Danio rerio: one gene and its partner. The protein of the gene in region 1 binds, or shares a complex with, the protein of each later gene. Links are inferred from orthologs where the notes say so. Each region holds a gene or a part of one and is shown on either strand. Other genes may lie near its edges.

Region 1 (16,738 bases):
ACGGATAGACGATGGACGGAGGGATAGATAGATGATGGATAGACAATGGACAGATGGACACATAGGCGGATGCAGGGCTGATAGTGGAAAAAATTCCTGAGCCTGAACTTTTTTTCCTTGCCCCTGAGGTGAGTAGGGGTGGGGGTACTATGTATGCAACGCACTTTTAACACATAACTTGTGGGCCCCTGGGCCCAAATATATTAACAGCCTATGTGTAACCCTGATCATCATTATTGTCAAGCGGCTCTTTTTAGACACATGCCAGTAATGTCAGTGACACATGCCAGTGTCAGTGATCTTGTGACATGTGCCAGTAGGTGTCAGTATAAGCACGTTATAAGCACATTAATCTTATAAGTCTCTTTGCTTTAATATTTAAAAATCATTAGACAAATGACACCTGTTATCTTACATGCATATATGTTATGAGTTTTCAACATGCATTTTATTATAACTTTTTAAAGGATATTATTTAAAATACCTTAAAATGAAAATAAGTTAAATAATAAAATAAATGAATGAATTAAAAACATAGAGAAGTCCATATTGTAGGGAACAAAGGAACTGCCAGGATGCAATAATATACAGTACAACAGATAAGTGTAACCCCTCCCGTACATAAGCATGCCACAATAAATTTGACTGACATGTACTGTCAAATGACTATATTACGTACGGAAGTATGACTACGAATACATAAAATAAATGCGTTTAAATTAAAAGAGTAGCTCAGCAAATAAACTAACTTGCGACGCGATAAATTAGGTTAAAAGTCGCGTAATGATTAAATATGGTTTTGCCACCGGAAGTGTCACTACACTCAGTGGCATGTGCCAGTGTCATCTGTACGTCAGATGTCGTGTCACTCCATGTTAAAACTGCTACTGTGAAACCGCGTTCAAGCGCACACAATAAGCTAAAACTCGCCCCAAGCACCGGCAAAAACAAATAACCATGAATGTGTCGAGGAAAGAGTAAGGATCATATCATAATTATTTATTAATAAACTTATTCTGAGTCGCAAAGATCCTGACTGGCAATCTCCTCTTGGACTCGCCTTTAGAGAGAAGTTCATCTTTACGGATTACATGAAGGAGTTTTTTTGTTTTCGATTTGTTTTATTTCGTTAAGTAATAATTTAAAGCTTTCTATAAATATATTTATTATGTCTGTGAGGCATATACATTTTGCTTCATTTTGTTAAGCGCTCCTGTTCAAAAACCTGACGACAGAAAGCGCATAATTTTGGTTTTCTTTATTTTATAAAAACGCTGTAACGTTTTTTGATGTATTACTCGTACTTTGTGAGCAAAAATGACGGATAACTTTAAATTGCTCCCACTGAAAAAATGCAAGTGATTGCTCTGGCGCCTCGATGTCCTGCAAGCTTTTTATAAGCAAACTATGCGCCTAATAGCACACATTCTTTAACGTTTAAGCTACCATTGTTTTATACTTGAACTGTTTTATATCTTTTATTTTAGGCAAGTCGTGATGATCTGAGAAGGCAAACTGATCAAACAGACAATGATGGTCTTCCGCTGGGCGCTGTTCGTTAAAAAAAAACTTATTTTTAACGAATAAAAAATGCTCCAAACGTTTTTCTAAATAAGCTGAATAAAAAACGAAACTAAATATAAACACTTTGCCATTAGGCTACATACAAAACTGAACTATTTCATAGCTGAAACAAGTTGTTTAAGGAGAAGGGGGAAATATATTTTTGTCCCGTCTATTGCTTCACCGTTATTTCGAGAATAAACCCAGCGTAAATATGCAGATGCCATTCCCAAAACATATCAGCGTATATGTGCCGAAAACGAAAGTTTCATACAAATTCTGAATGGATTATAGCCTGGAAAGTGCAAAGCACGCTCCTCTTATTATCACTAAAAAGCGTCACTTAGTTCATAGAGATCTCACAAAGATCCGTTATAATTTATAAAGCTCTCTAAATTACACAATTAATCTTTTATTTACATGGCGTCTACACTCAAAAGATGATTCACGAGCACACAAAATGGCACTTAATAAAAACCAATCCGGCGCTTTCAGCAGTGAGTGAATTCTGTGAATCTAGAGAAATGACAGATCAATATCCGTCAACCTGATTTTTTTTCCCCCGCAGCCACAGTACGCCGGAAATCCGGCGTGGTGCCGGAACGCTATCACCCCTGCGGATGGATGGATGGACTGATGGACAGACAGACAGACAAACAAGATATATAGATAGACAAATGGATGGATGGATGGATGGATGGATAAACTGACGGATGAACTGACAAATGGATAGAGGGATGAAAGGACGGAAGAATGGATGGACAGATCAGATAGACGAATAGACAAATGGATGGATGGATATGTAGATGGATAGATTGATGGATAAATGGATGGATGGATGGATGGATGGATGGATATGTAGATGGATAGATGGACGGAGGGATAGACGGACGGACGGATGTATGGATGGACAATGGATGGATGGATTGATGGATGGATGGATGGATGGATGGATAAATGAATGGACGGATAGATAGATGGATAGATAGTCGGATGGATAGACAAATATATAGACGGATAGATAGATGGATATAAATATATATATATATATATATATATATATATATATATAGGCAGACGGATAGACGATGGACGGAGGGATAGATAGATGATGGATAGACAATGGACAGATGGACACATAGGCGGATGGATGGATGGACTGATGGACAGACAGACAGACAAACAAGATATATAGATAGACAAATGGATGGATGGATGGATGGATAAACTGACGGATGAACTGACAAATGGATAGAGGGATGAAAGGACGGAAGAATGGATGGACAGATCAGATAGACGAATAGACAAATGGATGGATGGATATGTAGATGGATAGATTGATGGATAAATGGATGGATGGATGGATATGTAGATGGATAGATGGACGGAGGGATAGACGGACGGACGGATGTATGGATGGACAATGGATGGATGGATTGATGGATGGATGGATGGATAAATGAATGGACGGATAGATAGATGGATAGATAGACGGACGGACGGACAGACAGACAGATAGACATGTCCAATGGTTTAAAAATAAAAAAAACATTTGTTTTAATTTTAAAATATATTTTATTTCAGCTAGTTGACGAGGAAATATTTCTTACATTTTAGATTTTTTTTTATTAAATATTTGATTGTATTTTATTTAATTATTTTTAAAAAATGCTTTAAAAAATTTGATATATTAAACTTTTTATTCATATCAAAACACAACTATACACACACGTAAAAATTGTGCATACTGTAAATGTACTTAATGCAACTAAAAATAACTAAAATTACAAATCAAAATAAAAAAACACTGAAACAAATTATAATGTACAAAAACTTAATACAAGGAAAGAAATATTTACTAGATAGATAGACAGACTGACAGACATACAGACATATGTCAATATAAAATGTTTTAAAAATATAAAACTTTTTTTTATATTTTTTAAAATATATTTTATTTCAGCTAGATGACAAGGAAATGTTTCTGACCTTATTTTAATTTTTTAGTAAATACAATAAATGAAATATTTGCTAAAAAGGCAAAAATATCGTAAGAATTTTCTTTATTTTTAAACCATTTTAATTTGATATGTCCGTCTGTCGTCCTGACAGTCTGTCTGTCTGTCTATCCATCTATCATTCTATCCATCCACCTACCTACTTCATTTGTTTATGAAGCGTTTTTGTGAAAAATTAAATGAAGTACAATAAATAAAGTATTTATTAATTGGATTTTATTTAATTATTTGATAAACTGCTTCATATAATTTCATGTATAAAACTTTTGAATTCATATACCTAAAATTACAAAACAAAATAAAAAACAAACACTTTGCAATAAATATAATATGTCTAAAAATAAATTACAATGAAATTAAATATTTACAAGATAGACGGACAGACGGACAGACAGACAGACAGATAGACAGATAGACATAATACATATCTTTTTTTCTTCAATTGTCAAAGGTTATGTCATTAAAATGCAATCGCTTATAGGACATTCTACCAGAAAGGTACAATTTCCCTTATAAAAATGTGACAGGCCTAACCTTTAACCTCACTGTCCATCTTCTCCATCAAATGATGTCACTTCATAGCCTGAATGTATTGTATGCATTTTATGTTAAATTTAACACAAATGTGACAGGACTGACCAAAACAAGGGGACAAAATAGTATTTATTTGTAGAATTTATTCAAAATGTCATGTTTTTAATTACTTTATGTGAATGATAACAACTTAAAATTCTATTTCTGAAGTATTTTTCTTCTAAATAACAGTTTTAGCACAACAAAACTACGGTTCACTAAAAGTTAAATTGGGCTGAGGACAATGACAGGGTTTGTACATTTAAAGTGTTTTAAATAAAGAACAAAAATCTGAGAACCAAATGAATGACATATCCCTTTACGGAACAACTCACAGAAATCAACCATCAGTCCATTTTATGCAGAGTTCAGACTGCATGATTTTCAGAGTAGTCGTGTCAGAGATGTTTTCACACTGCTTGACTATCTGGGCTAGCGTTTCGTCGCTGCTTTGTTTACACTGCAAGACGATCGGCGACAGGGACTTTCACATTGCATGACTTTACTATAGGAAGAATCACCGACAACTTCGTCCAAACTACATCTCACAGCCAAAAACACATCGTATATCTTTTGTTATTAACTACATAATGAGAAAGAATCCTTTAATGGGGTAGAACATGTACATGTTTGCTCACCTGTGTTTAAAGGGAATGAGCCATTTCTCCTCAACGTTGATAATACACTAATTTCTTTCTGTATGAAACGTCAAACAGACACAGTTGCTCCTGTGTCCTGTCAAACCTCCACTAGTTTTTCCTCCATTTCGTGGGTCCAAATAAACCGAAAATGAGCGCTTTTAACTTCTCCCCCAGCCTCCCGCTGACCTGCAGCAGGTATACACACACACACACACAAGTGAATGCCGCTCTCTCATTGGCTGTAGGCGATCGCTGATGTTATTTTCAGTCAAAACTCAATTCACACGGCATGATTTGAATCGCCGACAGCTCCAGATATTCAGCACGGCAAATATCTGGCAGGCATCGGCGACTCATCGGCGATTCTCTCAGATCGCGTCTTTGATCGTTCATACTGTGTGATTGTCACTCACGTGCACGAGCAGAGATTTGCCTGTGATTTCAGGCATTTGTCTGCGATTTGTCAAAACCTGTCGGCGAGACAAAATCGGGGCTAAAATCACACAGTCTGAACCAGGCATTAGTTATTGTTGGGGATGAAATTCACTGTATTTGTGTTTATTTCAGGTACAGATAATGTAGGTTTCTGGCAGAATGTCCTGAATACAGTTTTTATACCTCACTGTATGTCTCCTACTTTTCATTTGGGGTGAAATCTGACCTGCACATGTCTTTGAGATGTTTCCTGATGCTCTCTGTCAATATAAACGTTACAGGGTTCAACGCTAAGGATTTTTTATACTGGCCCAATCGGGACAGTGGTTCAGATTTTTACTTGCCCTGCCAATATTTTCTTTGGCCTAACCAAAAAAAAAGTTAATAGCTATTTCTCAGCCACAAATTTGTGAAAAATGTTTGTGAATCTAGAATTTAAATATTACAAAAATGTTAATTAATGTATAATGAGCAAAATTCAAAGTGTTATGCAAACAAAAGTAGCAGTGTGGAAAATGTGTTTGGAAATTGAAATTTTATTGCAAAACAGAAGTGGCTGACCTGCCAAACTGATGGCAAACTGTACAAAACATCACTTCTTGTTTTTTAGTCGTGGCAAAGAGCATAGAACAGAGGTGGGCAAACTGCGGCCCGCTGAACACTTTCATCGGGCCCGCGAGGGAGTTTTTAAAATGCTGCTTCTGAGAAGGTTTGGTTTAGAATAAGTAAATTAATGATGCAATTACAAGTGAACGCCATGTGATGGCAGTATTGCATGCGGTACAGTAAGTGCAACCAGTAGAATTACAACACACTCTCGGATATTAAAATGCACTCGACAGTTAATGACCGAACACGCTTTATGCGTTAAGAGGCGCCTCTTTTGAGTGGTTTACTAACGGCCGCGGGGGTTATGTTTTGCGCGCTGCTTATGCGTCCTGCACGCCTCGTGTTTTAACCAGTCTATGGTTTTAACTGCCTGCAGCATCTCGCGTTTTTGCCGTAACAGACTTTAGACTGACACCCTTGCGAAGAGAGGGGACCAGGCTCGTTGTTCACATTAACACTCATAATAACATGACTTGGTATAACAAAGACTAAGATTCTTCTTCCGTTTTATTTCATAGTTTTATAATGATTGATATGAGCACATTAATACAAGCTCAAATGAGATTAATGTGAATTTGACTCAATCAAATTATATAATTATTGCTGGTTAAATGTGTTAATTTTAGTCATAGAATATATTTTTTCCATGCAAATATATACACTTAAAAAAGTCCTTTTATCAAAGATTTGTGGTTTTATCAAGTTGTATGATGATTGATCTGTATATTCTAAAAGCAGTGTAAAATAGATTATTGTAAATTTGACTGAATAGTAAACTTGAAGAATTATTTTTAACGTGTTAATATGATATTTTTTCTATTAGACAATATTTGCTAGTCTCCACTGTACATATTATTACATTATTATTATTATTATTATTATTATATTTCATAAGGGATTATTTTATTGTTTTATGAAGATTGATAAGTAAATATAAATAGCAGTGCAAATTAATTTGACTTAATAATATTTAAAAAACCTGTTTTGTGTTAATGTGACGTGTTTCTGTCCGATATTACATTTTTATGCATACTGCCACTATAAATAAGTTATTTTTTAAGAATTTGACATGTGGCCCTTCACTTGGTTCGCAAAACTTGATGTGGCCCTCGGGTCTAAAAAGTTTGCCCACCACTGGCATATAATCCATACCTGTCAACCCTCCCGTTTTTCCCGGGATTCTCCTGTATTTTACCGTTCTATCCCGTTATCATCCCTTAAAGGTATTTTCCCGTATTTCTCCCGTATTTTCAGACTTTCTCTGAACAGTCAAGCTTCCCTATACACAACCCATACCGCCGAACCACCAGGGGTCGCCCCTTGCTCTAAAACTAGAGTCTTCTGTGCTTTCGCTTTATTGCTTGCTTTCTTATTTAATGTAATAAAAAATCTTATTAAATGCCAGATTCATTCGTTGCTCTTTAATCAGAATGTTTAAGTTATAAAGTGGAGAAACGGCTAATGAGATTGATAGCTTGATTCTGTTTCATTATAATAGCTATTAATTTTAATAAGCTGAACTGTTAATGTATTTGCTGCTAATGTATATATTTATTTTTATGTTTTTAATAATAATTTAAAACACATAACTGACCATTTAACTGTTTATTAACAACGAAACAGCTCCAAAGGAACAAATTTAGTAATTTGGGGATTTTTTTAAGGGGGAGGGGGGGGTGTTGGGGGAATCCCTTATTATGGTGGGCATATCCCTTATTTTCACATCCCAATGTTGACAGGTATGATAGAATCACCAAGAGGCAACACTCTAATGCAATTTGGGAAACAGCCAATAGATGGTGCTGTGGCCATTTTGGAATGAAAACTCCAATAGAACAACAGCATATTACAAGTCTGTAAAATAAACTATTAAAAGTGCTGATGATTGTGATGGTAAATGTTGTATTATCTTTCAGGTTGTGTCTCAGCTTTAATGCACTTGTCAAATAACAAAATAAAAAACAAAGCAGCTGCTTGCCATCGCGACAGCAATACGATCCAATGGACGGCCGATTGCTTTCACTCCAAAATGGTGGAATCCGAGGCTGTTGCTGGGCGCTGCTGTTGCAATGGAACGTTCTATTGAGTGTCGCCTCTTGGTCATTCTAAGCAATTTGGTCGCGGTGTACCCTCGCAATGTCTACTTCCAAGAAGTTCAAAACAAGTGTTTTCTTTTAGCTTCATCATTTGATGTTGCCGTCTCCTCACTGTACTGGTTGTTATGTAAAAAAAAAATAACATGCTCAAAACGTCCAATCAGATAAGAGGAACCAAAACCCAATATCCGCTTGTTAAGTGTGACGTCACGCGAAGCGGCTTCCGGGTCCAAGCGCTCTATTCAACTGAATGGGGAGACTCATGAAATGGTAATAATAAACGTTTACAAAGTGATTTAATGGTTTCGAAAATCACGATCGCAGTATATGTCCATGCCTAATATCCGATGGCCAGAAAGTGATTCATTTTTTTATAAATTGTTAAATTTTTGGTATTTGTGATGCAGCAAGCCCAGAGATTGTTGTTTACACTATGACTTTATATAAAATTAACTTTAATGTGCGATAGGAATAAAACGTGATTATAAACGAATGATTTCTCCACTCAAATGAATGGCGGCTCGGAAACAGTATTACATACGTCACAAACACGTCACCACTTAACAAGCGGATAGTGCTAACCACATCACAGAGAAGGTAGCATTCGAAGGCTTAAAAATCCAAACTGTTTCTCGATTCTAAGACTGTATTTACACGCAATTGACAAATAGTCACAGGCAAATTAAACTTTAGTGACAAGGCAGCCCCAATCGGGCCAGTAATGACCCTGTCTACTGTCCCGAGCGTCTCACATACTGGCCCCGGGCCATCCTTATCGTTGAGCCCTGCATTACGCCAATATTAATAATGAAGCTGAATGTTGAGACCATAAGTTGAAACACATAGCTATACTATAACATGAGGGGTGTTTGTGGACCGCAACAGTTTCATGGGAAAAGTAAACACACACACACACACACACACACACACACACACACACACACACACACACACACATAGAGAGACAGAGATAGTCCTGCATAACAATACTGACTGCATCTCTAACGTTACTCAACAATACAAGCATCTGAAACACACACACAACACCAATACACATCCAGCTTTATCCCGACAACACACAACCTCACAAACCCACACCAAAAACCCGCAAAGTTGAGCTCTGAACACTTTAAAACAGGAGATTTTTCCACTTACTTAAATCTGAAGACACACACAGTGAGAGACAGAGAGAAGAAGCGCGGCGGAGCAGCACTGATTTACGTTACACACGTCATAACGGACAAACGCGCGACATAACGGACAAACACACAAACAAACATGAGTGCGTCTTACCGGAGAACCAGCACGAGCGTGTCCGTGATCGCTGATAATACGCAGTACGGGACCGGTTGTTTGGTCGGGAAGGTGGGAAGGAACTACAGGAAGTGAGGGGCAGATCCCTATTCCCGACAACATACACGCTGGACCTGCGCAGATCAGCCGGACAAGCGTTCCAAATCACAGTCCACCGTACTGCACACTACACCCTAGAAGTATGACATGCGTACTTTTTTTTTTTAAAGGGGAACTATTATGTAAAATGAAGTTTTATATGAGGTTGTGTGTCAGCAGTGTGTGAATATAACCAGCCTCTAATAGTAAAAATGTATTCTTAGAATATATGTGTTATGATCACACTTGATTGTCTGCAGAAACACTTTGATTGACATTCTCCCTTTGTAGGTGTCATCAGAGGTGGAAAGGCCCGCTCATTAGTGACGATCTGTCCCACATTAGCATAAACAGCCTTGAGAGAGAAGCAAAGCATAAAAGCAGCATCATATGTTTGCAGATATTTCAGAAACATGCTCAGTGAACATTCTTGTTTATCTGAGAAACAATGCTGAAGTCAGATATTCTGCTTTGAACATGTGCGTTACGTGTGACAACATCTGTCTTTGTTTTGGTCATTTAACCCACCCATTTTCAGTTTAGCCATTAATATTTCAGCATCTCAGGTTACCTTGGTGGAAAACAGCGTATTTCCTTCATTCAGTCTGGAAGGATTACAAAGCGTCTGTGACTGAAAATGAGACCTCCGGTGGACAGCAGCAGACTCTGGTCCCGTTTACACTAGTGCGTTTTAGTTTAAAAACGGCGTTTTAGATCAAAAACGATCCACGTCCACACAAGCGTTTCTGAACATATCTCCGTCCACACTGCGCCACCAAAAACGTATATCACGTGACCATTCGCGCACTCTGGGCATGCGCAATGAACAATGAACGCGATGGCAAAGAAAGCAAGAGAGGTATTTTTGTGGACAGACGACGAGGTCGAGTTGATACTAAACATAACAAATGAATAACTGCACAATGGCGCCTAAAACAGACAATAGTGCAAACAACGCTCCCATCTGTGTCCGTGTTGTTGTTTACAGTGAAGGCTGGTCTGCTGTCTTCTGGTAGCGTTAAAGCCATGTGTTATAGTCATGTGATAGGGGCTTGACGAATAAGGGAAGGATACGCAATGACACAAAAGCACCAATCAGGTAGCGAATGTCGGCAGCCGTTTTCAGATGTCTGTTTTCCCCATCCACACTGAGACGGAGCAGCAGCGTTTCAGAATGAAAACAGCCTCTTCAGCGTTTCCAAAACACTCTGTTTTTGATGCTCGAAAACTCCAGCGTAGTGTGAACGGATGGCGTAACCGTAGCAAGACTTATGCGTTTTCAAACTAAAACGCATTAGTGTAAACGGGGCCTCTGAAATGAGACGCAGATTCAGAGTTCCACCTGATTCCACATTATTAATTAGCAAGTAATATAAATACTACGAATGTAAACATTAGGTGAGCAGGTTACATTGTAACCCCGTATCCTGACAACACCCTACATGATGCAGTGATGAGCAATTGGGCTGTTTGCACCGGACGAAACATGACAGAAATGTAAATACAGCCATTCAGAAGCACAGAATAGTGCACTCACTGCACCCCAGCCAAATGGTAAAGTTTATAATCTAATGAACACATATTAAACCTCTTTAACATGATCAAATGTAGATGCTGAATAGGCCCGGATAGGCTAATAGGGAAAACCGGGAGAATTCCCGGTTGGCCGGTCCGTTTTTTTGCACTCCGGTCCGCTGCTTGCACTCTCAGCAGTTTTTTCATGTATTTGTTTATTTGACCATAGCCTGACTCTTTTTATTCATTATTTTGCCGCAGCTCCGCTCTTTTTATTTATTTTCTCGCAGCCCCGTGATCAAAATGCAGCATTATTAACCTGCGGGCTGCACCACATTCCACCCCAAACAGCGGCACCGTAGTGAATATTTATTAATATTAATGAATATTACACCTGCTCAGTGAAAATTAGAGGATTCACTACATTAATAAATCGGACATAACTTGATCAGAAATCTAAAAAGGGGAGAAAAAAAAAGAGTAGGGTACAAAAAGGGTAGACATCAATAGCAGCAGATAACAGTGTGCAGCTTAACAGCGTCATCGTAGTCTAGCGATTAGCACATTATGTTTTGAAGCCACCGACACGAGTTCGAACCTCACAAGAGTGTAATATCTTTTTTTTTTCATTTTTAGAGTTAAGACATAATATACTGTTTGGGTTCCTTATGTAGGGGTACATTTGTGTGTGTGTGTGTGACGACCATTACAAAGGACTGGAAATCTATAATGAATTAATGTTCTCATATTTTTGAAAAACATTTGAAGTTCTAAAGCAGCTGTGTCCGTGAAAATGACATGTTAGTGTCGGACGCAGGACTGTGTTTGGGCCTCCCTGATCTAAACAGTCTCTGGGTCAATGAGTGTAAAGATTTTGAACATCTTGGACACTTTAAATGCTTCCAAACAGTTTGCTGCAATTATAGAGCGCTCATGTCTTGAAGTAGTTTACTATGATGTGATTTACCTTCTATGTGTGATTTGATTGGACGGGAATCACAGGACTGATTTTTCTAATCCACATAGACAAGAGAAAATAAAGTAGTGACTGCAGGTTGAAGGACAGTAATGGAGTAAAAGTGCCGATACTGCACTAGAAATGAACTCAAGGCAAAGTAAAAGCACACATTCTTAAAACTACTTGGTAAATTACAATTTCTGAGAAAAACTACTCAATTACAGTAATTTGAGTATTTGTAATTAGTTACTTTACACCACTGCCAACACGTCACCAATTAACAAGCCGATTAGCATTTAACACAGAATAAAGCACATGAGGTGTACCTGAGCTGATCGTTGTCAGTTTTCTGTTGTTCAGATGTGACAAATAAAAGTTTCTAAAATATAAACTTCAGGTGTTGGTTAGGACAGCCTTTAGGCTTGACAGTCAGGCACACTGCTGTTGATGTCGTCAATCTAACAACCTGCGCTTGCGTTTGTTTTGATCCAGGGGTCTGGGGTCCGTTCTTCCTACCTCGCTTAAATGATCTAAGATGATTTGGCAGATCCCGGATCTTTTAATCTTGATAACTGATCTCTCGCTAATTTGGTTCTTCAAACAAGTTCGCGAATCAGATTAGAATGTCTGGATAAACTGATCTGAGATCGCTGCGTGTGTTGTGAAGGACAGATCTATCGATCCTCGAAATCATGATCAGCAATGCAGCGATTGGCTGACAGCACAGTAGCGTAATGACATCATCTGATTAATATTCAATTATCCATGTGAGCTAAATTACATCAAATTAGCAGTCGACGGTTTGTTAAATATGATACGCAATAACTTTACACATATGTTGTGAACTGCAGGCTTTACACTTTCATGTGTCAAGAGTATTTATCATGTATTTCAATGCATATCAATGTATTTAGTTCTACATTTAAAGAAGATTTTCTTTATTACAGTAGCCGTTTTTTAATCGCTGTATGGAATAACTGGATGTTTACAAAAGCATTTTGATATTGGTAAAGGCGTCTGCAGCTTTTGTGAAGCATCAAATCACCAGCATATTTACTGTCAAAACATGTTTATGACTGCATAAATGTATTATTGCTTTTTTTTAAAAAGTCGCATATTCTGCATTTCTATTATCATACACAAATTGTACTAAAGCGATCTAAAAAGTTAATATCAATAAATTTTCTCTTTGTACTTTCAATTCGAGGGTGCAGATTGCATAAGTTTTGTTAATATAACTTTATTTATTTTATTAATAATAACTTTATATATATATAGTTAATTTTTTTTTAACTATTTTCCCAAGTGTATATAACTACTACTGTAAGAAAATATCATAATTCGGTACTTTCTGTATTATCTTTGCTTGAACTGAGCCGATCTAATCCTGTTTATATGAATTGAACCTGCTTCCGATCAGGTTTGAGCTAGCAGAACTGTTGCTATGACAACAACTCTCAGATCAGCTTTGAAGAACGAAACGATCCTGTATCATGTCAAATCGTCAATATCCAAATCCAGCTAACTGAGTTATCCACGTACGAAGAACAGACCCCTGTTCTTCGTACGTGGATTACTTAGCTGGATTTGGTTATTGACGATTTGACACAATCCAGGATCGTTTCGTTCTTCAAAACTGATCTGAGAATTGTTGTCGTAGCAACAATTCTGGTAAATCAAACTTGGTCGGGAGCAGGTTCAATTCATATAAACAGGATTAGATTGGATCAGTTCAATCAAAGAAAAAAAAAAAATAAAATATATATATATATATATATATATATATATATATATATATATATATTAATAAAACTTGCAATTTGCACCCCCCAAATGAAAATACAAAGACTGCCACCTGCTGGTGCAAAGAGAAAACTTATTGATATGAACTTTTTAGATCGCTTTAGTACAATTTGTGTATGATAATAGACATGCACAATACGTAACTTTTTAAAAGCAATAATACATTTATGCAGTCATAAACATGTTTTGACAGTTAATATGACGCTGATTTGATGCTTTACAAAAGTTGCAGACATCTTTATCAAAATGCTTTTGTAAACATCCAGTTATTCTTTACACCGATTAAAAAACCGGCAACTATAATACTACTATAATAAGTAAAAATCCGCTCTAACTGTAAAACTAAATAAACTGCTCTTGACACATGACAGGGCGAAGCATGCAGCCCACAACAAGGTGTAAAGTTATTGCGTATCATATTTAACAAACTGTTTACTGCTAATTTGACGTAATTTTGCTCACATGGATAATTGAATATTAATCAGATGATGTCATTATGCTACTGTGCCATAAGCCAATCGTTGCATGGTGCTCTAGTTTTACAACCTGCGCTGGGTGTGTGGTGTCTGTACTACTGTACTGTGAGCTAACACTGACCTATTAGCAGAGATACAGAGGAGGAATATTATAGTTCCCATTCGTGTTCATATTTAAATAAATATTTATATATTACACGACGCTATAATTGAGACAATAATTATATTATTGCCCCCCCCTCAGAAAAGATCGATACTTTAACTTAAGGATCGATCTTTTTGATACATTCCCAGTATCGAAAATATCGATACTTCAGGATCGATCTGCCCATCCCTAACAGCAATACCTACTTCAACCACTGAGTGTCAAACTTACCAACTGCACCTTTATCTTGCACAGATTAATAGCTGACATTTAGGCTAACAATGTGCGCTAGTAAAATTAATACTGGAAGTTCAGATTTCATGCAGATTTAAAAAAACGTTATGCTCTCAAGTTCATGTGTGATGATACACAAGAATCATATTATCATATTATCCACCTTTATAAAAATCATTTATTTACAGACTGAAGGATGACAGAGTGCATATACATGTCTGTTTAATCATTGATCTCTGATGAAACAAACATCTACCAGCATCGGTACAATGTTGCGAATGTTTTTTTTTTTTAAATGCAGTGGATAGAATTTCAATATCAATAAAAGATAGAAAAATATTAAAGAAACTATAGAAGTAGGGCTGGGATGATAAATCAATGTATTATGATACGTGGGTCGATTTTTGGACTGCATTGCCATTCTCTGTTGAATCAGTTCTGAGCTTAGTTTATAACAGCAGATGATGCTCTAGGCTTGTTTTTAACAGCAGACGGCGCTCTAGGCTAGTTTTTAACAGCAGACGGCACTGTACGCTAATTTTTAAACAGCCAACAACATTGTAGGCTAGTTTTTAACAGCAGACAGTGTGATAGTGTGCTAGGCTGGCTACGATGAAGTGGAGCACCATCCATTGTTAAAACTAGCTGCTTTCAAAAAACTAGCAGATGGCGCTTTAGGATATTTTTTAAACAGCAGACGACGCTCTAGGCTAGTTTTTAGAAAGCAGATAGCGCTTTTGGCTAGTTTTTAGACAGCAGATGGCGCTCTAGGATATTTTGTAAAACAGCAGATGGCGCTCTAGGCTAGTTTTATACAGCAGGTGGTGCTCTAGGCTAGTTTTAAACAGCAGATGGTGCTCTAGGCTAGTTTTAAACAGCAGGTGGTGCTCTAGGCTAGTTTTAAACAGCAGATGGCGCTCTAGGCTAGTTTTTAAACAGGAGATGGTGCTCTAGGCTAGTTTTTAGACAACAGATGGTGCTCTAGGCTAGTTTTCACACAGCAGACGGCGCTCTAGATTATTTTTCAAACAGCAGATGGCGCTCTAGGCTAGTTTTTAAAAACCAAATGGCACTCTAGGCTAGTTTTAAAACAGCAGATGGGGCTCTAGGCTAGTTTTAAACAGCAGATAGTGCTTTAGGCTAATTTTTAAACACCAGATGACAATCGAGGCTAGTTTACCACCTAGATACAACAGAGTGGGGCACCATCTGGTGTTAAAACTAAGCTAGAGTGCCATCTGTTGTTTAAAAACTAGCTGATGGTACTCTAGGCTAGTCTTTAAACAGCAGATGGCGCTCTAAGCTAGTTTTTTCATGTTGAAACTAGCCTAGATTATTATCTGCTGTCTAAACTCTAGCCTAAAGCGCCATCCATCTGCTGTCCATAAGCTAGCTGACGGCACTCTAGGCTAGTTTTTAGAAAGCAGGCGGTGCTCTAGGCTAATCTTTAGACAACAGATGTTGCTCTAGGCTAGTTTTTAGACAGCAGATGGCGCTCTAGGCTAGTTTTTAAACAGCTGACGGCATTCTAGGCTAGTTTTTCGAGAGCAGATAGCACTCTAGGCTAGCTTTTGGACAGCAGACGGCGATGTAAGCTAGTTTTTAGACAACAGACGGCGCTCTAGGCTAGTTCTTAAATAGCTGACAGCCCCCTAGGCTAGTTTTTGGACAGCAGATGGCGCTCTAAGCTAGTTTTTAGACAGCAGACGGTGCTCTAGGCTACTTTTAAAACAGCAGATGGGGCTCTAGGCTTGTTTACAAACAGCAGATAGAGTTTATTCAACAGGATTAATGTAAACAGCTCACTACGAACACTTGCAACTCGCTTATTTTTTATAGTAAGTAATATTATTATTTTTTATTATTATTTTAATATTACTTATTTTTTATTTATTTTAATGATGACTATTTTGCGTTTAAAAGATACGTGTAAGGATTGTCAGAGTGAGACAGGTTTGTAAAGCACACAGCGCCATCTGCTGGTAAAAACTAATCTCAAAATTAATTCAAGAGAGAACAGCAATGCATTCAGAAAAAGTAATTATTGATTCATAATGCATGGATTTATTATCCCGGCCCCATATAGAAGCTCACTTAAACTCTGCCTCATACAGCAGCTGGTGTATTTTTAATTTGACCGCGCTCTTCTTGGCGTACGGCAGTCGTCTCAGATACGGCAGTAAACTAAACAAGAACATCTCGTCCTCCAAGTCCTCATTGGCCTCCATGTGCCACTTTCGCTTGCGTCCCGATCCTTGCGAGCCTGACGCAGAGTAATGC
Region 2 (16,830 bases), on another chromosome or scaffold:
TCCCACTCTAGCTCACCCGATGTCCGTGAAAAAAAGACTGGAAAACTGTTGCAAAAATATAATTAATTACCTGAACAGAACTTGTGTTATTAATTGTCTTTTGACGCTTCTGTAATATAGCACATCAATGAACAAGAAGCTTGGTTAATAAAAACTGAACTTCAACTCTGAAAACTGAACTGACACAGTTTTACTTGACTAGAACTGCTATTAAGCTGCTTTGACACACGTACTCTACATTGTAAATTGCTATAATAGAAATAAAGATGAATTGATTTGTTAATATTTAAATAAACAGCCACTGAAAGTCGACTTTTAAACAGCAGTAATGACAATGAAGTGTGTATGAGCGTAATGTGACAGTGAATCGATAGGCCAAGATGTTTAATGTCTGCGTTGTCAAAGAGAGAAACAAAACATACAAAGGAGCAGTTTGAATATTTTCTTTATCTCATTCATTCATAATAAACATATAAATAATAAATTCTATACATTTCCTGACACCTTGCCTTAATGAAAGGCAGGTTAACTGGTATGGCCACTCATCATATGCTATCCAAACTGTGCATCAGCGGCATATTTTATTTCTATAAAACTATTTACCTATTACAAAATATGAAAAGAAAAATACATTTTAGTAAACGTACAGTAGTTACTCATTAATCTGCTTAACGAAACCCTTTGCTCTTTTACTGTGGGACTATTATCTGTACTCAATGGCCAGAATGTGCATTTCGTATTTTCTTAAGGAAACAATGAAACCAGAGGAGAGTGAGCAGGGGGCGCATGTGCCTGTCCCACTCCGACATCCAAAGCAATAACAAAATAATAGATATTTCTAAAAGAGAAACAGCACAAGACTGCAAAGACTCTGCACCTATTTAAATTAAAATATATTCTCGTATCTTACACTATTTCAAAAAACGAAAAGTGATTAGGTAACGGTCGGTCAAAATCTAATGTACAATTCTGTGTATAAAAATATAATTTCTGGAGCCCCACGGCGTTTGCTTACCCCTAAAATATAACAGTCATTTGCACATATGCACAGAATGTCACAACCTGTCATGAAGGTTTCTGTCTGACATTATCTCTCTCTCTCTCTCTTTCTCTCTCTCTCTCTCGCGCTCTCTTTGTCCCGTTTTCATGAGATACAAAAATAGATTCTGCACCGCTGGATGGTCACACTGCATTCGACTCCGTGTGTGTGTGTGGCACCAGCCTGAGTTCACGCGAGAATAAATTATGCAAAGAAAACTTTTAAGGCTCCATTTATTCTTTGAAAATGACATTTTTTTAAAGTCATTGTAATAAATATCCCAACTCCGCTCGGAGCCTTAGTCTCTCTCTCACTCTCGCTCTCTCTCTTGTACTAATATTGTCTTATATCCTACATTAGTGTGATTTCTCTTGCTTTATTTCCACACGAGGGTTTTCAGCTTGAGTTTACTGACATCCCCAAAGGATGAAGCATGTTGCTGTCCAAAAGCCACGTTCCCATTTGATACAGGAGCCTGGAGTACCAGTGGACCCCCTCCTGTTGTAAAGTCGCATTGGACCGACTGCTGGAGTTTTGGGGGAACAGGAATGATGACACGTAATAATACAGCCTGGCGGGCGCGAAGGCCAAATGCGCAAGCCCCTGGTCCTCTATTACGGCGTAACAGGACGCCAGTATTCTGTCGACCACAATGGTCCCATGTGCAGTCACTGGTGCGAACGAGCCCCGCTGCTCCTCCGTGTATATCCGCTGCACGATGACAGATTTAAGCTGGCCGCTATCATCAACAACCATCACCTTTTGTCCGGCTCTGACACTGCTGGCATACGCGGCGGTCATGGTGTGGAGATCTTCCGTTGAGTTGTCGAGGACAAAAAGGAGGTGAGCGGCGGTGAGGGTGATCTTTTCAACGGGTTCTTGCGTTTCTATGACGTAAAACACACGTCGCGTCGTGGAGTCTCGGTCTGTGAACATGATGAAGTCGCTGAACACCAGGTTTCCCGCGCTGTCTGCCGCCAGCACCTTGTCTCCGGGGTTCAGGTCCTTCACGGCCTTCTGTCCTCCGTCCTGGAGCGAGACCAGAGCCGAACCTGGGAAACAGCCCCCAGATTTCGCAGCAACCGAATTTTCTGAAGACATAAATGAATAGCAATGAGTGATTGAAATTGGGGGATTTTTTATTAGATTAATTAATCATTTAAGCCGAAATTTAAACTAGAGAAACGCGCACATAAGGAATTAAAGACTGAATAAACTAAAGAAAACGTGGCAACGGGAATTAGGCTGTAAAGCTTCTCTAAAAAACTTCAATGCCTTTGTGTGAGATGAAGGAGGAAAGAGCCTGGACTGCTCTAATTAAAAACCAATAAAGGCCGGACATTGTCATTCTAATGCAGCTTGTGTACAGAGCACTCTTGGAAAAGGACACTTCTGCCTTTCCCTTGCGCCTCTTTCATATTTGCTCAGGTGCAGAAACTTCTATGTGACAATTCACACTTATAGAATGAGAAAAACCCCAAGCAGGCTCAAATAGTATTTGCTCAGCCCCAGACACTTTTTTTTTCTAAGGCTCTAATGGTGTAGATTTGAATGTAAATTAGAAATGCTAGGGGTAGTCAATCAATGCCCTCTTCTTCTTTCCTTTCATTTTCCTCAAACCATCATGCTCTCCGTTGTCAAGCTTAATGACAATAATTCGGGCCTTGTGGGATCTCTTCACATTCCGATCTCTTGGGTCGGTAAACAGAGCTATAGAATGGACTTCTCGTCTAATCCTCTCTTAAGATTCTAGGGCATGAAATAAAGATGGTGACAATTGAGAAACAGATTTGGCGAACGGGTTGGAGCTGGTTCTCGTCGAAGCCGGTAATGTATTTGTAAATGTGTTTAGAATTTAAATGATAAGATCTGGCGAAAGCTTATGAGGGATTGTCAATGCGTTCCAGCTAATTTAGCTTCCGTCAATAATAATACGTTTATTAGACAAAAAATCCAGACGAGAATTACACCGTAATAGCGCACTAAATGTCACATGCTCCAATAATAATAAACACAAATTGTTTTACTTTCGAATTTTCGTGTGTAAAACCCTAGATTTTGGCGCATCTCTAGTGTCTGTGCAATGCGCATTGAGCTGCAGAGCAGAGAGTGATCTTGTGATAAGCGCTTCCTTCAAAGAGACAGAGAGGGGCGATGTAAGATCAGTTATTATATGGCCTGGCAAGTATTTCTAAGTGACTCGTTTTAACAGAATGATCTTTCAAAAGACTTTCTTAAGGTGTAGAAATTTAAAAGCAGGTCCTAAGATAGAAATATAACCTTTATATTTTTGTAAGATCTGTGTATCGCCTATTTACAATAATAAATATATGCATTAGAGATTTCTTACAATAACATATATTTCATGATTTAGTAGACTTCAGTAAAAAAAATAAATAAATAAATACAAATATATAAAAGCATTTTCTAATTTAAAATCTCCTGTTTTAACATGAGAGGGAGTGTGAAGCATTGTGCCTTCTTTTTTTTTTTGTCATTCCAGAGGTCTTACCTGCTTTGACAGAGCAATGAATGTGGGCTTTGGACTCGTAATAGACCCAGTCAAATCCAGCCTCCACAGCTAGGCGAGACAGTGTCCCGTATTTGCTCTTGTCTCGGTCAGAGGTGGTAATATCAACAGCTCTTCCCTCGTAGTGGAGTGATTCTTCAAAATGGTGACCGTCCTCATCCCAGCCCTCTGTCACACGCAGCTTAACCCCTGGCCAGTGGTTCATTACAGAGATGGCCAGCGAGTTCAGCTTGTCTTTGCATCTCTAATAGAAAGACAAAAAGAATGGGGCAAAAGGAAATTAGCCGTTGTTTAACGTTTCTATTAATTCATCCTAAATCTCCAAACAATTCCCAAATTATATTGCTTACTGATTATCTGTTTACATCCAGACAAGTTTAGTTAGTTTAGTTTAAAGGGTGTCATAAACTAGCTGATCTTATTATCATTTTCAGCCATGTCAGTCAGTTCTGAGCAACCATCTCAGGAATCAGAGATTTAGATATCATTAATCCAGTATGTTTTCTAATAGATACATCCAGACAAATGTGACTATGAGAAACCCATATTTACACTTGAAATAATTCAGCCTTGCATGCAAGGATAATCTGCTCAAGGAGCTCAATGAAAAATTTATAAGTTACTGCATTCGCTTCACTGATCTAAAACGTATAGATCCAACTAGGGAAAGGTGTGACTGAATCAGGGGCCATGTCTTTGCTTTAAAAGGCCAGAATGCATACAATGAAATTGGGTAAAAAAAAAGTAATTCGGTTAGTGGTGTTCATTATTATAACCTTGAGATTTAGAGCAGTAGGTCTCACTGAGGTGCAGGTATGAACTGTGGAATATCAGGCCATGTTTGGGTGCTAACCTTTCCCGGGACCTTGCTTTGAGATGCTTGGCCTTCACCAGGACAACTCTTCCCAACACTTAACCAATATGTCAAATAAAACACCACAAAAGACTCTTTCACTGCGTCCAAGAGGAGAAGCAACTACTCATTATTCTTGCAGCACAGGTTTGCTCAAGGGACGTGATGTGATTGCTTAACTGACGGTCTTTCAGAGGTTATATAAAATCTATTCAAAATATGCTGGCAAATTGTGACACTAAGCCAAATTAATACCTGTAATAATTCACACACATACCCTCCTAGCTTTGACTCACTTGCTCGCTTTCTCTGACTCTCCCCCCTTATACACACACACACACACACACATCCTTAGCCTCTAACATCCACATAAATTTCTCCAGCAGACTATCGCCCCACTTCCTACTGATCTGCTTGACCCTCTAATTTTCATGTCAGCAGTGAAGACCATATGCACTTTACTAAGCTGAATTGCACTTTATTGTATATCAGAAAAATAATGTTTAGTCAATTATAAACTACACTGAATTATATCTGAATGTATGAAACTGTTCAGTTCACTTCATTGTGTTTCTAGAGTCTATTATACAAACGATATAGTCTAATGAAATAAATTGCAAAAACTTCACAGATGCATCCTCTGGATGATGCCTTTTTGGAATATCTGTACACTGAATGGAATGTAGCAAAATGGTACTTTAATCAAAAGTAAATAAAACAGACCCCCTAACTACTATATTTTAAATTGCTGCCTTTTAGCTCTACAACACTTGTGGCTGTTGATTGATAGAGTAAACCACAAGCAAGCGACATAAAGATGCAACCTAGCACATCCTAAGCAAAACTACCGGGGATTGATGAGCCGTGAAGCCTGAACTCTTTATTAATTCATTGAGTCGTGTGCCGCAAATCAAGCCAAATTCTGTTCAGCCACCATGAAGCGCAGCGGGAACCCCCTGTGCCGCCGCTTTGTGCTCCACACGAGGTTTGTTCAACAAGCCGCCTAGTCACAGTCAGCAACTAATCTCCCCCCAAAATGAACTGTTTTAGAGGAAACACTTATCAGCTACCTGTCAGAGCAAACAGCCTCCTGGATACCCTCGCAGTTGCGCCTAATTTCGCGAGCTTCACCGTTAAGTCCAATTCACCGCACAGCGTGTTCAACCAACAAACCCTGTCTTACACTCGGATGCGCTTCTCCAAAACATTTGTCAACAGGACACCTCGTTAACTCCCTTTGAAAGACTGAGACGTTCATTTGATGTTACTAGATTGCAAGGGTAGCTTATAGCAGCGTGTGTGCCCGCGGGTCACTGCACACTTATAATCACATTCACCTTAAGTAGAGCTTGATATACATCTGAGAAAACCACACCAGACACGGGTTTCATCTTTTTTAAGGACCGGTAAAAGGGAAACTTTATAATGCACCTGCGCGTGGCGTGTAAATTGACTTTGGCGGACATTATTCGCAATGCTTCAGCAAACCTTGCTATAACCGGTCATGACTTAGACTTTGAACCTAAAAGCTATTTAACAGAGGCACGTTCAAAACAGCCTAATAAAAATTATGCTCGGGATAATCACTTTGTAAATTACACGGAAACACTTCAATAGAGGCTAATTTGCACTGCAAACATATTTTCGATGCACTTAGTAAGCTGCATGTTATTCTTCCTTAGCATTGGCAAAGGGTCAGAAGTTCAAAAGATTCCTGCTAATGCAACGAGAGTGGAAAGCCATGTTGGGGACAGACAGCCTATTCCCGAAGCTGTCTGACTTTAGCAGAGGCCTAGCTTTCTTTAAAATAAATAAATGTAAAAAGTTGGATGTAAATGCTAATATACAAATCTGAGCAACAAAATAAACGAATCCAATAAACCATATTTAAGCAACACAAATCTTTAGCATTACATCCAAAAGTGAATATAACGCAGGCTACCTAAGAGCAGAGAAAACAGCGCACCGCGGCTAAGTATTCGCGTTTACATTGTAACAAAAATAATAGCGCATTTTGCAGTTAAAATAATGTTGCATTAGCATTGACTACTCATGAAGTATACAAACTTATACTTGCTGTTGCTTAAATATATTAGTCAGATTAAATACAGTTAATGCAGCCTCGCATGTGCTGAAAAAAACTGTCGGCAGATGAACAAACACCTGCATAACATCCAAAGAACAGAGGCGATGATAGTCCATTGTGTCTGATTCTAATCTGTCATTAAGTGTAACCATCCTAGCCCATTAATAAGTAGAAACAAATCGGAGAGCATCCTTGGAGAAATGTCAATATGTTCATGCCCTGATAAGCAGCCGCTGCGAGCGAGCGAGCGGGTAGGCTGCGGTCTGTCTGACTAAGCGATATGAACATGTATGTTATATTTCAATCTATATTTAGCTGTCACGAGACTGTAATATTCTGACCACCACAGTCCCTTCAGATCAGGTGCGGCACTCATCCGTCGGGACATCCACGTTTTATAAAACAGATAACGCGCGCCTGACGCGTCTCAACGCGCGGACAAATGCATACATATGACCAGAAGAAGCGCATAAATATTTCACGCTGCCTTCCACAATGAGGGTGAGCAAGGAGGCAAGCAGCCGGTCCTCTGTTGATGGCACAGGACTAATTCACAATCCTTGCACGAATTCAACTGTACTTTCCGACTTTCAGATTTCGAAAGGCGAAAGAATTACCTGTGTCATGAGCCTGTCCGCTCCCGTGTTCTCCTCATCCTTAAAGATAATGTCGGGATTATAATTTGGAGTAAGTTCTTTAAATCTCTCCGAATTGCGCGTTATCTTGCCCTCGTATCTGCCGCTGGCCCCTAAGGTCTTCTCCGCGACATTAGGTATGAACTGCTTGTAGGCGAGAGGTGTCAGCTTCTTCGGATGTCTTCTTCTGCCGTAGCCTCTGCCAGGACCGCAGGCCAGTCCGGACACCACCAAGGACAGAGTGAGAAGAGACACCAGCAGCACTCTCGTCAAAAGCCGCATTTTGCCGCACGCTGAATCTCGCTGCGGTGTTCTCGAGCGGTCTGTCTAGCAGGGTTTCTCGTTGTCGAGGCGCGGATCTCCGGCGATGTCCTTGCCGTCTCCTCGGTTCACGCGTGTCCCTCAGCAGCGCCAAGCCCCGACCGTGACAGGTGCGGAAACGTGCGACTGATAACGCATCGGAGGTTTGCGGCGGGGATGCGAAAGGTAAGACTGACCTCGAAATCACAACGTTACTTCAAGCCACAGCCACTTAATGCGAGAAGCCTCTTTACTCCTATGTATTATAGCTGCGATCTGAGGTAGGGAGGGACCTGATTGGCTCGACGGGACGAACACTTCTGATGTTATCCCACAAAACAGACGCGCAAAAAACCTTTAAAGAAGGTGGGTTTCAGGGGAGGGACGCGGTGAGATGTGAACGCATCAGTTTCTCCCACTGCTGTCTGTGTGAGGCTGCGACGTGCATGTGTGCTCACTTTCTTACATCCGTGTGTGACCCGCTAATGAACCATTATTTCTCAAGTCATTTGCGTTGCTGCACGTAAGGTTGAATCAATTATACAACTTTCGAAACTTCATTTATCACAGCAAGTGCGGAATGTGCGCGTTCACCATCACCCGAATTAATCACAGAATAACAGCGTTTCCAAATATGACAACTTTTTAATCGCTTCAGTCACATTCCTGTCAGATTGATCACTTGTTGTCCCATCAGCCTCTAACCTGAACAACTCGGTTACAGAAGCCAGACGAATTAGTTTTTTGTGTTTTAAAAACACTCAGATCTTACATCAAATTTATTGTGCTTTCTGCAGTAAATCAGCACCAACTTTTGTTGTCATTTTGGACATTTTAAAGTCAAGGGTACAATTTACAGGATTTAGTTTCTTGTAAATGTTGTACAGATTTCAAAACGTAAAAACCAGGATTGTTTTGATGTATCTGGTGTTCTTTATTATAAAGCTGCCAGTCCCAAAAAAGGGGTTTTGCCATTTTGGTTCCTTTCAGAATCTTTTAGTGAAAAGTTTTTTAAAAGTACAATTTTTTCATAGTGTGAGGAATATTTTCACACTCTAAAGAAAGTTTTTCCCTCTTTAAAGAATCAAAAGCTTTAGTAGATGTCGAAGGTTCTTCGTGGAACCATTGAGAGGACCTTTATAATTAAGAGTGCGGTGTACAACTGATTATTTCTCTATCTTTATCAGGTGCTTTTCCATGGTGTACCAGAGCGAGAGAGCAGGAGACAGAGATTAAGCTGGCTCTTCTGCCCAACAGCTTATTTGAGATATTGGAAAAGGCTCTTCCTGTGCACACAAATGCTAAGCTGTCTGTTTGGGAGAAAGATCAGCCTGCAAAAACCCTGTCACCCCTTAAAGTCCACTTCAGTGACAGATTAAGCCATGGTAACCACTGTGTTCCCTGGCCCATAGCAGCGGGTAAGGTATGTGTTTCATTGTCTTATTTTCTCTTGTTTTCACACATTTTCTAGACTGCTCTATCAAAGATGGTGGCTGCTTGTCTTGTGAAATACATTAAGAAGATCAGGGCCCCTGCTGAAGGTTTTGTTCAATTGAGCATGACAGATGATTTGTTGTCTTATTTGTTCTAGTCTTGAGGTGTCCAATTTTTTTTTGGACCACGGAAATTTTATAAATGCCATTAAATGATGACCTGTTTTTGACCCATTTAGCTTAATTGTAAATTGAGTCTTAGTCAATTAAGAAAATTACAGCAGGATATCATTAAATCAAGCAGTTTCTCTCCTCTAAAATATCTCCAGATCTAGCAAACGGTCAAACAGATCTTACTTTGTGTCCAAATATTATGCCCACCTGGCCACTGATGTCCAAGAGGAGTGAATTGTGCAGACTGGCTTAGTACTTTAGTTCAGGTCACAATTTCTGCTATTAACTGGCTCATTACTAAGCCCACACGGAATCTGTGCCCACAGATTTCTGCAGATTTCCACACATTTTTAACCCATCATCGAGTCTATTTATTTACTTGTGTAAATGTGTGTAATTTATATTTATTCAGTTTTTAAATTAATTTCATTAATATTATTAAATATTATGAAAGTGTTCATATGATTTATTTACAATACAGTTTGTAAAGTAACATTTTAGTAGATATATTATATGAGAGACTTGCTTTGTTTATCAAATAAGTGCATCTTATTGGATTTGTATTGTAAACATTAAATAAAAGTTAAAAAGGTATATATATATATATATATATATATATATATATATATATATATATATATATATATATATATATATATATATATATATATATATTTATATATATATTTTCAGGTTTTAGCTATCATACTCCTGAAATCATTTCACATAAATCTGCAGATCTTTTTATAAAATTCTGCTCAGAAATAGCAAAAAATGTCAGCAGGTTCTGTCTGGTTCTACTGATTACCTGCCTATTATTAAGATGCTAACTGCTTATTAGTGGTTGTAAAAAATGATCTTATTCTGCATCACTTATCCTACCCTAAACCCAACTTTTACTAGCTATTAATAAACAGCTAATTTGTAGTTTATAAAGCTTGTAATGATAGTTAATGGTTTGTTAACACTATGAATTGGGACCTAATCTAAAGTGTCACCGACTGGCTTTTCATAGGTTTCCACAGTACGGCAAACACTATATGAACTGACTAACTTATTAGTTAATTAGTTTATTAGTTTAAACTAGCTTCCCATATGTCATTATTAACCCCTCTCCCCCTTAATTTATTCTGTTCATTGTTGAAGGTTTAACTTGACAGTTTAAGTGATTTTACTGACTTTTAGTAGTTTGAAATAATATAATAATGAAATGCTAATATATTAATATATGTTCAAATATAGTATGATGAGCAATATATACAGACGTAGTTCTGCTACACTAAAAAAATAGTAAATAGTCGACAACTTAAAATTTTAAGGCAACCACCTTCAGGTCATTTTTGAGTTGACTCAACTTCAAATGAGTCAAGTGCAGTACTTGGGTTGAAAGTTGAGGCAACTCAAAAAAGCTCTGGAGCAAGTTGCCTTACAATTTTTAATTAAGATAACATAAAACTAAACAGAAGCACATATAAATAGAAACAATGTACCCATAAATCACAAATGAACACAAATGAACATTTTGTACAGTGAGAATACTACTTTTAAATCAATTTCTGCAACAGTTATTTTACCTTCAGAGTATTAGAAAGTTAATAAATCAGTGTGGCTGACTTAAAAAAAAATCAGCACAGACGCAGATGCTGTAGTGAAGTGTGATTTTCCTGCTTCTCCCATATAGCTGCATTTATAAGCAGTTATGAGATTACTAATCATGCTAAAACAATTCTATGGGAGCAGACATAACGATTACGTAGACGTCATTTTTCAGGTCATTCGATTACGCAACTGTATGTTTAGCATGAAAAAGCCCCACAAACAAACACAATGTGGTGTAATTCTGGACCTCATACAAGATCATGTGCCGCCCCAATTGACTAATCCTTTGAGAATGACCCTAAGCAGTCGGTGTACAGCAAAACGGTCTTAAGGACAAGCATTCTGTGGAGGAACACTTAGCCTCGATTTCGGGCAGCTCTTTGTGTTGTTGTGGACTGCAGGGAGTGGAACGTGGGGAATTTCACAATCACGTACCTGAGGTTCCAGCTCAGCTCCGTCTCGGAGTGTGTAAAGAGTTTTTTATTTGCCTCACTCAGCCGCTCCCTCTACTTAAACATAGTCTCAGTGCTCTCAAGGCCAAGGCAAGACAGCCAAGCCCCAGGTCAACCCAACACAGCGGGAGGGAGAGGAGAGTCTTAGAGATGCGCAAATACGTGCTGTTTCAATGTGAACTGAGATTTAAGGGGCAAAGGGGGCTAGTGAACACTAAGGGTAATTCATAAACCAAGCATTTTCATAATGACTACCTGCATTCCGTGATAAAAAAAAAACAAACAAAGCAGTTTACTGATATTATTAGTATTAAAGGGCACCTATTTCACAACATTTTTAAGATTTAAGATGAGACTTTTTTTAAGACATGTAGCTGTTTATGTTGCCTGTGCCTTTAATGCTAGTTCTCCCCACCCACCTTTCCCATGTTTCAATCTCCACCTCGGCTGTGTCAGTTAAACAGCAGAGTGACAGACATGAAGGAAGCAGATCTCACGTAACGTTTGTGAGAATTACTACAGTAAGAATTTATTCAATCATCCCAATGATTATTTGATGTATTTGTTGTGGCGCTGCGATGAGTCACACACAATGTCGTTACAAAGTTCAGTCACTCACGCACACACAGCAGCCACATATACACTGCATTCACATTTAAATTTGCACTGTGTTTGCAAGCAAATGTGACAGGATGCACATTAATATTCACTGCTGTGTGGATATCCGTTATGTTGATGTACAAAATAATCCTAATTTAACGTCCACAAACCGGGATTGAAGTGTCTTCTTTTATAATTGTACTGACATGAGGCTGTGCTGATAAAGACTGTAAAATCACTGTAATTCATTACAAACACGCACTGTTTTAAAAACATTTTAAACTTGTAAAACTCATTCTTGATCACTTTTGATGATCACAGAGAGCTGAACAGATCTTTTAATCCTGGTTGTTCTGCGCATGTCCTGTCTTGATATATATATATATATATATATATATATATATATATATATATATATATATATATATATATATATGTTACTACGGAGACATGTTATTACACGGCTGTCAATCAATTTGGTGGGTGGGGAAGCCTCACTCCTACAACATGTTGTGGTGGGCCTCAAAATAGGAGAGATTTGGATCCTATATTAACATCAGGAAATTAAAGAAAGAGACTTATTGTGTTTATATCATCTCAATATGACTATGGACACACTAGACCTACCTGTAAAAAATGCTTAATTTTATGGTTTATTTCTGGCAACTTCTTTAAAAAACCCTGTAAACTAACGGTTGTTACATTACAGAAATATAAAGTAAAATAAAGGATATTAAATTACAGAAATGTCCTTAAATGTAAATTTCTGTCATTCAAAATCCGTTATTTTATGGTAAATTACTGTAATTTAACGTCCATTATTTTACGTTTTATTTCTGGCACCCCAGCTTCTGGAAATAAACCGTAAAATTACGGATTTTTTTACAGTGTACACACAGTTCTGTCCAAACAACTTACAAAAGATGATTTTCATCATAGGTTCCCTTTAATTATTAACGATTAATACATAATGGGCAATTGAATTATTCAAAAATAATGCACACCTGTGCTGATGAGACATGTCAGTGTGTTTTATTTTCCAATTGTTCAACTTATACTATGGTTACCACACCTATAGACAATCTACAAATGTAGTATGCCAAGTCATTTGTCAGTTTTTTGGTCCAAAAAACCACTGCTACAGTATGTGTAAGAATATTTTCTTACGCATATCATCCAAATCCTTTTGTTTTGATTTTTGGTTTTGATTTGAATTATTAAAATTAAGTGGAACTGTAATGGAGTCAAGACCTGCCTTGAACAAATTAAACAGTGTGAAAATAAACGCACACCTTAAAAATTAGCCAATCAGAATTTAACAGCCCTTTATAATAATATAATGGATATTATAGGATGGTTTTGCATTTAATTGATTGTAGTAACTCCTGAAAAGGGGGATGTCAAAGGCCCTGTAAAATGGTGATGGACAGCAGAGGAAAATATAATTGCAGGCATATGTGAAAGTTGAGGATGCAAATAAGCGAGCACATGAGAGTAAACCATCTGCTTCAGCATGCTTTGTTCGATTGCCATTTGACCTGAGGACACAGATAGTATCTTTTTAATGAACTTAGGGTGCTTGTGGCCTGTGCCATATTACCTAGAGCAACAGTAATTCCTCTGGAAATTTAGTCAACGTTCTACACAGCTGACCACAGTAACCACCGAAAAGCGAAAGCGTCATTAAACACCCAATCACATGCTGCCATAAACACAAGCACCATCCCTCCATTGGAAGTGTTGCCTCCTACCTGAGTGTTCAGAAACATTCCACAAGAACAGTGCGATGTGATTTCAAAACATTCCCACACTCAGTAGTCTACTGGACAGCTTCCAGGACGTTGCTCACTGAACAACATTACAGCCAATATTTTTCATATTGATTGTAAAATTAATTGTTAACTACATGTGTCTGCACGCTTCAGCTTCTGAGGTGATAGATAGGAATTAGTGTTGAAATAAGTGTTGTAACGTCACCGAAGAGCAAAATGATCCAAAAGACTGCAGTTGAGGACGAGGGAGAGAGAATGCAGCAGTTCCTCATCACAGCTTTGGATAATGACCTCATTCCGGTCGCCAGAGTTTTGTGATCGAGGGCAGCACAACTGTACGGGAAGGAAGCAAACCTGAAATGAAGAGAGGAGGAAAAGATGTGAAAATAAAGCATAGGTTTGTTTAGTGGGCAAAAGGTGTGGACTGTGGAAAGATGCAAATGTCTCAGCACACATCTTTAGGGGTTTGAATCTGGAGTTTTATCTAGCAATTTATCAGCATCACTTTTGATCAGAATAACAATAAGTTCATTTGACCTCCTGAATTACATTACATACTGTATTGCATTATAGTACTATATACTGCAATTTTTTCAACCACCTAAATATAATTTACAGATGTGTTTATTTTTAAAAATATACATATGTTTATATAATAAGCAGGATAATGTTCTGTGGTGGCTCAGTGGTTAGCACTGTCATCTCACAGCAATAAGGTCGCTGGTTTGAGTCCCAGTTGGACCAGTTGGCATTTCTGTGTAGAGTTTGCATGTTCTCCTCATGTTTTTGTGTGGGTATATTCCTGGTGCTTTGTTTTCCCACAGTCCAAAAACATGAGGTATATGTGAATTGAATTAACTAAATTGGTAGTAATGTATGTGTGTCATGAGAGTGTTTGGGTGTTTTCCAGTACTGGGTTGGAAGGTGGAAGGGCATCTGTTGTGTAAGACATATGCTGGATAAGTTAGCAGTTCTTTCTGCTGTGGCGATCCCTTATTAATAAAGTGACTAAACCGAAGGAAAATAAATGAATAAAAAAGAAGGCACTTAATAACAATAATCAAGGCACTTAAAATACTATTTGTTTAAAACAGTTGAAATAATTTGACAACAGTAATGATTGCAGCGCAAAACTATTGCAAGGAAAATTTCTAGTTTACCGCAGTGAAAAAAATGTAGGAAGTAAATAAGGAAGTGAGCTGAATAACTTCAGTACACCTGCGGAACTAGTCACTTTAGTCTCTCACAGGACAACGCTGGTCTCTCCTAGGACATTACTGGTTTCACACAGTACATCACTAGTCTCTTGCAAACATCACTAGTCTCTCATGAGACATCATTTTCTCACAAGACATCACTAGTTTGCCACAAAATTTTACTACTCTCTCACAGGACATCACTTCTATTTCTACATCACTTCACTAGTCTCTCACAGGACTTTATTGGTCTTTCACAGTACATCATTAGTCTCTCACAGGAAATCACTACTAGTCTTTTACGGGACATTGCTTCTAATCTCGCACAGGACATCACTAGTCTCTTACTGGACATCACTACTAGTCTCTCATAGGAAATCCCTAGTCTCTCAAAAACATCCCTGGTCTCTCACAGGACATCACTAGTCTCTAAAAAAACATCAATAGTCTCTCATGGGACATCACTCATCTCTGATAGACATCACTAACAGGATAACACTAGTCTTTCATGGGACATCACTAGTCTCTTACATGACATCATTAGTCTCTCACAGACATCACTAGTCTCTCACAGGATTTCACTAGTTTCTCACAGGACATCACTAGTCTCACACAAGACATCACTAGTCTTACACAGGACAAAACTACTAGTCACTCAAAGGCATCACTAACCCGAAATCACTATTCTCTCACAGGACATCACTACCCAGACATCACCAGTCTCTCACAGGCCATAACTAGTCTCTCAAAAACATCACTATTCTCTCACAGACATTACTAACAGGACATCACCAGTCTCTTACAGGACATTACTGGTTTCTCATAGGATATCACTAGTCTCTCACGACACATAACTAGTCTTTCAAAAACATCACTAGTCCCTCACAGGACATCACTAATCTCTCACAGACATCACTCATCTCTCACAGGACATCACTAGTCTCTCAAGGGACATCACTAGTCTCTTATGGGACCTCACTAGTCTGTCACCGGACATCACTAATTTCTGACGGTACATCACCAATAGGACATCAGTACTAATCTCTTCCATGGGACATCACTAGTCTCTCACAAGACACCACTAGTCTTACACAGGACATCACTAGTCACTCACAGACATCACTAACAGGACACCACTAGTCTCTCATGGGACATCACTAGTGTCTCAAAAACATCACTAGTCTCTCACGGGATATCACTAGTCTTTCGTAGGATATCAGTATTCTCTCATAGGATTTTACTAGTCTCTTATAGGACATCACTAGTTTCCCATAGACAAGACTAAAAGGGAACCACTAGTCTCTCACGGGACATCACTAACAGGACATCACTAGTCTCTCATGGGACATCACTAACAGGACGTCACTAGTCTCTCACTAGACATAACTAATCTCTCACATGACATCACTAGTCTCTCACAGACAACACTAACAGAACACCACTAGTCTCTCATGGGACATAACTAATGTCTCACAGACAACACTGACAGGACATTACTAGTCTCTCACGGGACATCACTAACAGGACACCACTAGTCTCTCATGGGACATCACTAGTGTCTCAAAAACATCACTAGTCTCTCACGGGATATCACTAGTCTTTCGTAGGATATCAGTATTCTCTCATAGGATTTTACTAGTCTCTTATAGGACATCACTAGTTTCCCATAGACAAGACTAAAAGGGAACCACTAGTCTCTCACGGGACATCACTAACAGGACATCACTAGTCTCTCATGGGACATCACTAACAGGACGTCACTAGTCTCTCACTAGACATAACTAATCTCTCACATGACATCACTAGTCTCTCACAGACAACACTAACAGAACACCACTAGTCTCTCATGGGACATAACTAATGTCTCACAGACAACACTGACAGGACATTACTAGTCTCTCACGGGACATCACTAACAGGACATCACTAGTCTCTCACGGTACAACGCTAGTCTCTCACAGGACATCACTAGTCTCTCACAGGACATCACTAATGTCTCACAGACAACACTGACAGGACATTACTAGTCTCTCACGGGACATCACTAACAGGACATCACTAGTCTCTCACGGTACAACGCTAGTCTCTCACAGGACATCACTAGTCTCTCACAGATAACACTAACAGGACATCACTAGACTCCCACAGGACCTCACTAGTC

The links.
Region 2: the proteins of disp1 (region 1) and shha are in contact, whole or in part, in a cryo-EM structure (PDB 7E2I), measured with the Homo sapiens proteins. The link is inferred for Danio rerio from reciprocal best matches to the Homo sapiens genes DISP1 and SHH. Residues at the interface, in NP_001356523.1 of Homo sapiens: Lys242, Thr244, Gly245, Tyr246, Lys247, Ala248, Glu260, His265, Arg299, Phe336, Gly337, Asp338, Leu339, Cys340, Gln341, Arg342, Thr343, Glu459, Arg899, His904, Asp906; in NP_000184.1 of Homo sapiens: Pro49, Asn50, Val51, Thr55, Leu56, Gly57, Ala58, Arg68, Glu71, Phe73, Lys74, Leu76, Thr77, Pro78, Tyr80, Pro82, Arg96, Leu97, Gln100, Lys186.

What each region holds. Positions count from the first base shown.
Region 1 is NC_133195.1:54,916,459-54,933,196, forward strand, and holds the start of disp1 (protein dispatched homolog 1), read right to left. Parts: upstream 9,323-16,738; 5' UTR 9,091-9,322; intron 1-9,090. Other genes in the region: MADF and BESS domain-containing protein, read right to left, coding at 16,549-16,738. UniProt on the Homo sapiens protein: Functions in hedgehog (Hh) signaling. Regulates the release and extracellular accumulation of cholesterol-modified hedgehog proteins and is hence required for effective production of the Hh signal. Synergizes with SCUBE2 to cause an increase in SHH secretion.
Region 2 is NC_133182.1:41,222,943-41,239,772, reverse strand, and holds shha (sonic hedgehog protein precursor), read right to left. Parts: upstream 7,745-16,830; 5' UTR 7,426-7,744; coding exon 7,126-7,425; exon of another isoform or gene 6,865-7,125; intron 3,814-6,864; coding exon 3,552-3,813; intron 2,131-3,551; coding exon 1,436-2,130; 3' UTR 430-1,435; downstream 1-429.